Linked DNA regions of Callithrix jacchus. The protein of the gene in region 1 binds, or shares a complex with, the protein of each later gene. Links are inferred from orthologs where the notes say so. Each region holds a gene or a part of one and is shown in the gene's direction. Other genes may lie near its edges.

Region 1 (5,912 bases):
AACCTCAATGTATTTGTCAAAGCCACAAAATTAGGCCCAGTGCGGTGGCTCATGTCTGTAATCCTGACAGTGGGAGGCTGAGGTGGGAGGATTGCTTGAGCCTTGGAGTTCAAGATCAGCCTGGGCAACACAGTGGAGCTCATCTCCACAAGAAGTTAAGAAATTAGCCAGGGATCGAGCACCTGTAGTCCTAGGTACTTGAGAGGGTGAGACAGGAGGATCACTTGAGCCAGGGGGTCAAGGCTGGAGGGAGCCATGATCACACCACTGCACTGCAGCCCGGGTACCAGCACCTACAAAACTAACGTTGGTACAAAGCTATTAACTAAACTTTAGACTTGGTTTGGACTTGGATTTCTCCAGTGGTTCCACTAATGTCCTTTTTCCACTCCGGAATCCAATCCAGAATACAACATTGCCTTTAGTGAAACAGTTTTTAAATTGTATTGTGAGGTTATTTTTCACCATTTTTAAGTAAAATCAATACTTAAAAATGGCTGGGTGCAGTGGCTCAGGCCTGTAATCTCAGCACTCTGGGAAGCAAAGGCAGGCAGATCACTTGAGGTCAGGTGTTTGACCTCGCCAGCCTCGCCAGTGTGGCAAAACCCTGTCTCTACTAAAAATACAAAAATTAGTTGGGTGTGTTGGCACATGCCTGTAGTCCCAGTTGCTCAGGAGGCTGAGGCAGGAGAATCACTTGAACCCGGGAGGCGGAGGTTGCAGTGAGCCGAGACGCCACTGCACTCCAGCCTGGGTGACAGAGCAAGACTCTGTCTCAAAAACAACAACAACAACAACAACAACTTCAAAATCGGTGAAAATGTGCCGGTCCTAGTCCTATTAATCTTACACTGATTTTTGCCCTGTCCCTACCCTGTCCCTGTCCTGCTCATAGGCTGCTGCCTGCGGTGCCATCGCCCAGGATCCCTCGTCAGTTTCCTGCTGGTTCTGGCCGAGGGCAGGAGAAAGAGAGGAGCCAGGGTATTTCTCCTCTCCCACAGCCCCCCTCTTTGACCTGCATTTCCGGCAATGTCTCTTGCTCCTCTGGGAACAACTGATGGCTGTGGCTCAAGCATCCCCTGCGTGACTCTGGGCCCCAGGCTCACCACCTATTCATGTGGTGGCTTCCCGCCATTGACAATTGCGGGATGGCTTTATCTTCCCCTGGTTGACCTCTCAATTCTCCCATCACTGACATAACCAGTCTCTGGTTTTAAATCTTTTGAATGGCATCTATCATCCTGGTGGTCTCTGCCTGGCACAGGTGCCTGAGGCACCTCCACGCTTGGTCTTCTGCCCTTGTGGCCCTAACACCCTCACAAAGCCGAAAGCTGTTTTCAGTGAAAGGTTCTGTGTAAAAGTGACAGAGGACCTAAGATGAACTTTTGATGTCAACAGCTGTGGTTTCTGCAGCCACGCTAACCACACAGATGTCAGCACAGCTCCACTAACACCTACGTCTTCCTTTTGCAGGATGGCCAGAGACAATAAAAGCACAAGACCCAAATAGTCTACCGAAGTCTCCATCTCTGAGGACGTACAGAGGGACAGAGGGCTGCTCACGAGATGGCTTTAGACATTCTCGCCATAGCGCCTTTGTACCAGGTCCCCACCATCAACAGAATAGGGCCAAAGACAGACCCATCTAAAAGGCCAGCCGACTCACTAAAACCCTTGGTCCCCTCTAAGACCAAACTTACCACCATTGAGGCCAAAAGGATCATGTCCGTCCTGGATGAGGCGATCTACAAGGTGGAGCTGGTGACCCTGCTGTCGTATGTGGCATCCAATCGAGGGGATGTGGAGGGGATGCTGGGGGAGAACATCATGAGGGCAGTGAGGGAGCATGAGGACCTCTGCCAGATCCTCCTGGAAAACGTCAGGTGCCTAAAGGAAAAAGAAAGGCAGCTGCAGGAGCAGGATGAGGCTAAGGAGGAAGGGTGGCTCAGAGACCGCCGCCTGTCCATAGAGCTGCAGAAATCCAGCCTCCCTCCACTTAGGCAGCAGATCAAAGACTCCACCAAGAATGTCCTGAGACTCTTGCTCAGCAACCCTCAAGCTGCCAGTTTCCTGCAGATGCAGACGCAGGGCAGAAGTGCAGAAGCCCAGTGTTTGATTGACAGCCTGAATGAGCTCCGTGGTTTCCTGTTTGAAAAACTCCTCACTAGTCCCATGGAAGCGAGGGACAAAGCCCAGTTCATACAGGATATCAGTAAACAGAATAGTATGAACCAACAAATCCTTGATACTCTTGAAAATGAATTGGCGGAGAGGATGAAGGACAGACATGCAGAGGTACTGTTTCACAGTACTGCTGAAACCGCAGAAGCCACACTCACTGGCCCAAATCTTTTTTTTTTTTTTTTTTTTTTTTTTGAAATGGAGTCTCTCCCTGTCATCCAGGCTGGAGTGCAGTGGTGTGATCTCGGACTCATTTTTGATACTAATTTTTGTACTTTTAGTAGAGACAGAATTTTATCATGTTGGCCAGGCTGGTCTTGAACTCCTGGTCACAAGTGATCCTCCTGCCACGGCCTTCCAAAGTGCTGGAATTACAGGCGTGAGCCACCGCACCTGGCCCCAACTTTTTCTACTAAGGGTCAGATAGTAAATACATTAGGCTTTGTGGGCCAGATGGTCTTTGTTGCAATTACTTAACTCAGCTCTGCTGTTATGGGGGAGAGTAGCCATATGTAAATGAATGGACTGTGTAAGAACAAAACTTTCCCTAACAAATGCAAGTTTGGATTCGGCCTGTGGGCCATAGTTTGTCAACCTGTGTTCCAGGTGGAGGGTAGAGGGTACCTCAGTCATGAGATAGGAATAAGCCTGGCTAGTTCAGAAACCCAGAGAATGCCAGTGAGCTAGAGGGAAGGGCCAAGATAGGCTGGGAAAGCAGGGGAAGGAGACAGATCACATGGGGCCTTTGAGGCCTAATCAAGGAATTTGGTCTTTTGAAGTTTTTAGTTTTAGAGACAAGATCTCGCTCTATCACCCAGGCTGGAGTACAGTGGCACGATCATAGCTCACTGCAGCCTTGACCTCCTGGGTGATTCTCCTGCCTTAACTTCTTGTGTAGCTGAAACTACAGGCATGCACCACATTGCCTGGCTAATTTTTAAAATTTTTGTAGAGATGGTGTCTCACTATGTTGCCCAGGCTGGTCTCGAACTCCTGGGGCTCAAGAAATCCCCCTTCCTCAGCCTCCCAAGTAGCTATGACTACAGGCACATGCCACCATGCCTGCCTAATTAAGTTTTTTTTTATAAATGGGGTCACTGGCCAGATTTGGTGTCTCACACCTATGATACCAGCACTTTGGGAGGCCAAGGCGAATGGATCACTTGAGGTCGGGAGTTCGAGACCAGCCTTGCCAACATGGCGAAACCCCATCTCTACTAAAAAAAATACAAAAAAATAGCTGGGCATAATGGCTCATGCCTATAATCCCAGCACTTTGGGAGGCAGGTGGATCACCTAAGGTCAGGAGTTCAAGACCAGCCTGATCAACATGGTGAAACCCCGTCTCTACTAAAAATACAAAATTAGCCAGGCATGGTGGCAGGCTCCTCTAATCCTAGCTATTCAGGAGGCTGAGGCAGGAGAATCGCTTGAACCCAAGAAGTGGAGGTTCAAGTGAGCCAAGATTGTGCCATTGTGCTCCAGTCTGTGCAACAGAGTGAGACTCTGTCTAAAATAAATAAATACATAAATAAATAAAAGAAAAGAAATACAAAAAAGAAATGGGGTCTCACTCTGTTACTCAGGCTGGTCTCAAACTCCTAGCTTAGAGACCCTCCAGCTTCAGCCTCCTGAGTAGCTAGGATTATAGGCATACCACCATACCAGCTAGAATCATTTTTTTTAAGAAGGGAAATGTGGGCATGGTGGCTCATGCCTGTAATCCCAACACTTTGGGTAGCCAAGGCAGGAGGATCACTTGAACTTAGGAGTTTGAGACCGGCCTGGGTAACATAGTGAAGCCCCATCTCTACATACAAGACAAAATTAACTGGGCGTGGTGGTATACACCTGTAGTGCCAGCTACTCAGGAGGCTGAGGTGGGAGGGATCACTTGAACCCAGAAGGTAGAGGTTGGAGGTGACAGGGAGCTGAGATCGCACCACTGTACTCCAGCCTGGGCTACAAAGAAATACCCTATCTCAAAAAAGAAAAAAAGGGGAATGGTAGCATGATCCTAAACCTAATAATAATCATATTGGACACATACAGTGTATTTGTTTTACATACATTTTCTCTCTAAATCTTTACAAAAACCCTGTGACATGATGTATAAGTACAGATTTGGCTGCTATGACAGAGACACCCAACATAGCTGTGGCTTAGTAAGACAACCATGTATTTCTCTGTAGTAGAAACACCAGAGCTGGTGTGGCATCTCTGCTTCCCAAGTTGTCAGGGGGTCTGGCTTCTTTGATACGACTTCTCTACTGATCCCCACATGGGACTTCTGCCTGTGGGTCAAGATGGCTGCTCCAGTTTTCCCCATCATGTGGCCCCCGGTCCAGCCAGCAGGAAGGAGGAAAGGGGAGGAGAGGGCTTGGTTCCACCCCTTAAGGACACATGCAGAGGTCCCCCCACAGAACTTCTATGCACATCTTGTAGCCACACCCAGCAGAGAGAGGTGCTAGGAAGGACTGACCGCCTGTCACCCTGTTCTACTACACATTCTAGCCCACAGCCTCTCTGGGGAGGGCAGACGTGGGGGCTAGCCAGGCTGCACTGCCGCAGCACTTCTCTTTCTCTCCCCCACCACTGACAAGAGGTTCAAGGCACTGGCAAGCTATTCACTGCCCTCCCTTCCCCAGGGAGGGAGGTGGGGCACTTCTCACTGAATTTGTCCTTTAAAGCAATCAGCCGACTATGAGGATGACATACCTTTGTGTGCTTTGTGTGGCCTTGAGAGGTCTGTCTCCTCCACAAGAAAAGAGGGGCCTTGTCTCTCTCAGCCTGCCACTGTGTCCCCAGTGAGCCTGTCCAAAAGAAGTACATGATGTATACTTGCTGAGTGGACAGGTGATGGGCTTCTGGGCCCTTGCACAGGGAGGTCACTGGTAAGGTGGGAAGAACATCCTCTAGGCATAGGCAAAGGGACACAGGTGGCCCTGCTGGTCTCATTCAGGTGCTAGAATTCGAAGGGGCTTCACCTTGGGCTAACTTGGGGTCAGATGCCATTTTTGCCAGGTGAGCAAATTTCATGTCATTGAACCTCAGTGTACAATGAAGGGGAGACACCAATCAGGGACGTGGTGGGGAGTCTACCAGGAGAGCTGTGACTGCTGAGCATACTCCCGCACCTGCTGCCTAGAGCCTTCATGCAGGACAGGCTTGCCTCAAAGACGCTGCCTCCCTGCCCCCAGTGTGCAGGAAGTGAACAGGTGCCCAGCAGGCCTGCTGCAGGCTGACCCAAGCCCAGGACTGTGGTGTGAGCAGCGATAGCACCACTGTGCTCAGATGGAGACTCCAGTGTTTGTGAGAAGCCTTGAGAACTTCTTTACAAAACTGTCCCATCCTCCACCCCATTCCTGTTCTAGAATCCACCCAAGGCAGGGAACAAGCCAGGTATGGGCCCTTGAGAGACAGCCTGGTGGCAATCCCTTCAGTCAGTGTTTGTCATACACATTCATGCATCCCACCAAGTGTCTCTGCCAGCCAGGCCTCCCCTGCCATGTCCTCAGGAGAAGCATCACTGCCGTCCCAGTCCTCCCCTGTGGACTCAATCCAACAAGCTTGTACTCTTCACTAGTGCAACGAAATAGAAAGTGGTGGCTCCAGGTCAGACAAACCTGGCTTCAGACCCCAGCTCAGCTGGGCAACCACAGACAGATGAAGCCACCTCCTGGAGCCTCAGTTTTTTTGTCTGTAATCAAGCTATCCCTGACCTCCATTGT
Region 2 (5,912 bases), on another chromosome or scaffold:
TGATTTTGGCTCCACAAGGATCTGTTAGGCCAGAAAGACGCTTACATCCCTCAGGGTTTGTGAAAGTTGGTCCCCGGGGAAGCGATATGAGGCATATATTATGTGTTATTTGTGAGTTCTTCCATGATGGAGACAGAAGTATGGAGTTGACTTCCTTTGAAAAACAGTTTGTGGCTTGATGAGGGTGCATGTAAGATAAAGAGGGTTCTACAGTGGCTCGGTGGTGGGAGGAAAGGGAAGAGACCATTGCTCTTGCTTCTGGAGCAAATTTCTGGAGGAGTCAGAATAGCCAACTCATCGTTTTCATTTTAAAACTCCTCTGGAGATAACCTCGTGAGACTGACGTTCTATTTGTCCGAGGCTGCCAGGTAGGGAGTTGCAGAGCGATGCTCAAGCAGCGGAGCCACGTGAACATTAACTTGCAATGCTCACCTTCAACCTAGAAGCAGCTGAAGACAACTGTTCATGAATCGGCGGGCTCAGCAGTTCTGAAACACACAATTCTGTCATTGAATGCGTTGAATTTTCTGCTGATGGTGGAGTCGGAGGTTCCACCACGCTAGGTGTGAATCTGGTGTAAGTGTTAAAAACACTAGTCATTTGGATGACGTTGTGTCACACTTAGCAGCAACCTGTAGGTGTTTTCTTCGTTTTTGCTCCAAGAATAAATCTGTCCAAAACTCATCTGCTGAATTGGGATCTATGAGCCTTTTAATGAGATTTTTGAAAGGGAATGGAAAATTTACAGCTCGCTATAGACAGCCTGACAGGAAAGTTAAGGTCAGTGGTGTTATGTTCAGCTGCTGCATCCAAGCCGAACCCACAGGCAGGGATCTGTTTCGTTCTCATTTAATAGTGCCAAGTCCCAATCATCCTCTTAGGTGTAGTCTTCTAATCTAGGGGCGGTATGACCAAGCTCTGTCTACCATGGAGGTGCTTAATACATATTATGATGATTTAAGATGTAGTTGGTCCTTGCGATGGCGGCGTGTGCTCTAACCTGGTCCCTCATTCAGGGTTTCTTGTCTCAGGGAAAAGCATCACCTTATCTCAGTGGTGTCAGTCAGCATCCTGGGAGTCATCCTTGAATCCTCTGTTTTCTTCCATCGTTACTCATAATGAATGCAAGACCAGGTCCTATCAATTCCGCTTCTTAAATATTTCTTGAAGCCATCCATTTCTCTCTCCATAGCCACCACTCCAGTCTAAGCCCTTGTCATACCTGCTTAGACTACTGAAAAAGCTGCCTCACCCTCAACCAGTGTGCTCTTTCAAAACATGCATCAGCGAGACCGTCGGTGATTTCCCACTGTTTTTGGGCCAGCAGCCTTATCACTGTCACGGGCAAGGAGGCCCTGCAGTCTGCCCTGCCTCTCCCTAGCCTCGTCTTGAAGCCTTCTCGTTGCTCCTTGTACTCCAGCCTCCTAGCCTCCAGTGTGTCAGCAGAGTCTCAGTGCGTGCAGTTTCCTCTTTGTGAGAGTCTCTCCCTCCCGTCTTCGTCTCATTACCTTCTACTCATCCTTTCTAAATCAGCTGGAGTGTTATTTCCTCGTGAATGACTTCCCTGGCCTCCCGGTCTAAGAGGTGCTCTATTTATTTATTTTGACATGGAGTCTCACTCTGTCGCCCAGGCTGCAGTGCAGTGGTACGATCTCGGCTCACTGCAACCCCATCTCCCAGGTTCAGCGATTCTCCTGCCTCAGCCTCCTGTGTAGCTGGGCCTACAGGTGTGTGCCACTATGCCCAGCTAATTTTTGTATTTTTAGTAGAGATGGGGGGTTCACCATGTTGGTCAGGCTGGTCTTGAACTCCTGACCTCAAGTGATCCGCGTGTCTTGGCCTCCCAAAGTGCTGGGATTACAGGTGTGCGCCACTGCGCCTGGCCGAGGGTTCTCTATTGACTGTTCCTACAGACCCGTGCTCCTTCCCTTCACTGTGCTTACATGGATTTACAAGCACACTGTCTTCCTGTTGCTGTGTCTTGATTAATGCATGTCTCCCTTATCAGAGTGTCAACTGTACAGGTTCAAGATGAATGATAAAGAGAAATCTTAATAAAATATATTTGTTGGATGGATAAATGGCTATTTACTTATTGAATGTTTAGATAGAGGAAGAAGAACCCACTGGATACATTCGATTTGAAAAATTTCTTCCGGTGATGACAGAAATACTACTAGAAAGAAGGTAAGTAAGTAAATGCAATTGTTAAGGCAACGCAACGATCAGAATTCATTCAGGACGCTTGGCTCTTTCCCTTCGTATGTTATGTTCAACCAGCGTCTCCTAAGGTGGCCTCCTTCTAACCTTTCTAGATACTTCTGAACTGCCAGTTGGTACATGCTTAGAAATATCAAACACATTCGTGTTAACCTTAGCAAAGCATAATTGGGGGCAAATAAGCTACAAAGATCATAAGTCAACATTCTTATCTTCTGTTTTGAATTATCAATGATAAAAAAGAATCCTAATATTTCTAGCACAAATATAGCATTAGCTTGCCAGAGTTGGTTCATCATGGAAGTCTTGTGCCCACCGAAATTGATTTCTGAAAAGCTAATAGATAACCGCAAACATGTCAGTGATTTTGCACTAAATACTTCCTGTGGGGCTGAGGTGTTCTCCACTTTCACATCCAGAAATCCAACAAGATTTCAGCGAGGCAAGCATTACCATCCCAGTATGTTAGCAGCTTTTACTTCTTCATTTTTATTTTTTGGGCTGGAGTGCCATGGCGCCATCTCAGCTCACTGCAACCTCTGCCTCCCAGGTTCAAGCCATTCTCCCGCCTCAGCTTCCCGAGTAGCTGGGATTCCAGGTGCCCACCACCATGCCCAGATAATCTTTGTATTTTTAGTAGGGACAGGGTTTCACTGTGTTGGCTAGGCTGGTCTTGAACTGCTGAGCTCAGGTGATCCACCTGCCTCAGCCTCCCAGAGTGCTGGGATTACAGGCGTGAGCCACCACGCCCGGCCCTGGTTTGTTTTATGTGGTCATTTATTCATTCCAGTGGTCCCCAACTACCAGGCCATGGACTGGTACTAGTCCCTGGCCTGTTGGGACCCCTGGGCTGCACTGGAGGAGGTGACCAGCAAGAGAGTGAGTGCTGCCACCTGTCAGAGCAGCGCTGGTGCCAGAGTCTCATCGGAGCACAAACCCCATTGTGAACTGCGCGTGGGAGGGATCTAGGTTGTGCTCCTTATGAGCATCTAATGCCTGATGATCTGGGGTGGAACTGTTTCATCCCCAAACCATCCCCCCAACCCCGGTCTGTGGAAAAATTTCCTTCCATGAAACCAGTCGCCACTGCCAGAAAGGTTGGAGACTGCTGCTTTATTACGCAGAGACGATGGTGAATACTATGGCACTGACTCAACCTATTGCATAATTATAGATACAGACCCATTCCAGAAGATGTCCTTCTTCGAGCCTTTGAGGTATGTACACTCCAGCTTATATACATATACATGTATATAAATACAGACATTTATATACACACGTGTATGCTCATTTATGTGAAAAATTCATCATGTAGAACTTACCAAATGAAAAAATAGAATATCTATCTTTTCTTTTCCCCTAGGTTTTAGATACAGCTAACCGTGGATTTCTTACTAAGGACGAATTGATCAAGTACATGACTGAAGAAGGTAAGCGTGATTTAGTGCTTGCAACAGTGACCTACGTGAGGAATTCATGATTTGTCAGCAGTCATGTAAAGTTATGGGGAGACGTTAGAATCAGTCATTCTGGTGGAAAGTTATTTACTGTTCCTACTGTTTTGGTTTGGGGATGGTTTCTGTTCTGTGGGGGTTAAGAAGAGTAGGATAAGGGGAGCTGTGTTGTTGTCTTAGAGGATTTTGTAAAGTATAGTGATTACTTCTGTAATTGCAGTCATTCTGAATGGAATTTTCAGAATAAAAGATATGCCATCTGGAAAACATGAACTATCAATCACTGTAAATGAAGGCCTCTTCCCAGATTGAAGATCTGAATAGGAGTCTCTACAAATTTCTTTCTTTTTTGTTTTTTTTGAGACAGAGTCTTGCTCTGTCACCCAGGCTGGAGTGCAGTCTCAGCTCACTGCAACCTCTGCTTCCTGGGTTCAAGTGATTCTCCTCCCTCAGCCTCTCAAGTAGCTGGGATTACAGGCGTGGGCCACCATGCCCAGCTAATTTTTGTATTTTTAGTAGAGATGGCCGGGCTGGTCTCAAACTCCTGACCTGAGGTGATCCACCCATCTTGGCCTCCCACAGTGCTGAAGGAATTTAAAAATTCCTTTTTAAAAAGCTTTTCTGTTGGTGAAGTTATAGATAATATAGCCTAAATTTAATATGAGGTCATTTTTAACACTAAACATTTCCTCTTTTAATGTTAATGGAACCATATATATATGCTTTGAACATGGCCCTTCATACATATGCATATACACACATAATACCTGCACACTTACATATGCCAACATATTTCCTTGGGAATTCCCTCTGCTAGGCTGATGTGTACATTTGTTTTCCCTGAAGGTCGTCTCCTGAAACCATCCTCATACTGGTGACCTTGCCTTCTCCTGTACAGAGCTAGAGCTCTCTGGTTCACAGATTGAGTTCTGAATGACTCAGAGTTGCTAATCACTTGAGACAGAATCAAAAGTGCAAGTAATCTGGAGCAGGGAAAGCTAAGACTGCATCTACGTGCACAACTGGCTTGACCATTCCAGCGTGATCCATTAGGGGGAATACAGGGAGTGGGAGTAAGAATGACACCGCCATCATAGCTGCCACCCAGGAACTCTCATGCCATGGTCAAAATGATCTTAGGGATTAATTTTGATGGGGATGTTAGGACTTTCAAAGCATCAGCTTCTTTTTTTTTTTTTTTTTTTTTTTTTTTTTAGCATCAGCTTCTTAATCCTAAGGATTAGTGTAAAGAAAGTAAATCCTGGGTTAAATATTGGACAACATGAAGTTAGTCAAAATGACCCAAAACAGTGCGATGTTCCTACTGTCGTGTGCCTACTACGTGTTTAGCATTCAGTAAGTGCAGTAAGGTATAAGGACAGTGAAATCTGCTCCCTCTTGCAAGGATATTACAATCTTACTGGGGAAATAACAGTAACATAAAATAGAGACAGCAGAAGACGATAGAAAAATAAATGTATGAAGATCAACCAGGGCCGGACCCGCCTGAAAAGCTTAGTCTGGGAAGACTTAAAGAGAAAATAGGTTTTTTGAGACGGTAGAATGTATATGGTTAAGTTGTCGAGGGCAGAGGTAAACTCTTGTGCATTATAATTCTCTCACATACAGTAGATCTCAACAAATGTTTGCCGAATTAACGAATGGATGAGTAGACGGTGAAGACTAGGCGAAGGGCTCACGAGAGGGAGACCTAGGTGTGTAAAACAGTCTGAACAAAAATGGAGAGGTAGGAATGAACATGCTATTTCAGAGAGAAAATAAGCCTAGCTGGCCCCGAGGGTGGCTCTGGCAAACAGCGGGAAATTAACTTCAGTAGATTGACTGGGACTAAACTGTAGAGTCCCAGGATCAGGAGTTTGGAATTCATCCTGTGGGCAATGGAGAAGTCCTACAGGCTTTTGAGCAGATGAGTCACAAGGTGTGTGAGTGATCGTGAGAAGGTTTTTCTGGTGCTGGTCGGTTTGTTAGATTCATGAGAAAGAGGTTGGACCAGGGAGACCAGTTAGAAGCTTATTTCAGCATCCTGAAGGCACCCAAATAAGGGCCTAACCTGGCAACGGCAATGGGAATGGAAAGAAGGGATTGATACAGGACTGTCTGCGGCAGAATCCGTGGGTCATGATGACAGAGCGTAGGGGACAAACATGAGAGCTGAGTCACAAGTAACACCAAGGCTTTGCCCTCGAGCGCAAGTGTCATGGTAATGCTGCTGACGGA

Evidence for each region.
Region 2: DRC10 (region 1) and DRC8 share a complex: the UniProt entries of both Homo sapiens proteins name them as parts of the nexin-dynein regulatory complex. The link is inferred for Callithrix jacchus from reciprocal best matches to the Homo sapiens genes DRC10 and DRC8.

Annotation. Positions count from the first base shown.
Region 1 is NC_133510.1:116,175,269-116,181,180, reverse strand, and holds part of DRC10 (dynein regulatory complex protein 10), read left to right. Parts: intron 1-1,473; 5' UTR 1,474-1,566; coding exon 1,567-2,295; intron 2,296-5,912. UniProt on the Homo sapiens protein: Component of the nexin-dynein regulatory complex (N-DRC), a key regulator of ciliary/flagellar motility which maintains the alignment and integrity of the distal axoneme and regulates microtubule sliding in motile axonemes.
Region 2 is NC_133520.1:41,146,311-41,152,222, reverse strand, and holds part of DRC8 (dynein regulatory complex protein 8), read left to right. Parts: exon of another isoform or gene 1-2,107; coding exon 2,108-2,187; exon of another isoform or gene 2,188-3,394; coding exon 3,395-3,437; exon of another isoform or gene 3,438-3,583; coding exon 3,584-3,650; exon of another isoform or gene 3,651-5,912. UniProt on the Homo sapiens protein: Component of the nexin-dynein regulatory complex (N-DRC), a key regulator of ciliary/flagellar motility which maintains the alignment and integrity of the distal axoneme and regulates microtubule sliding in motile axonemes.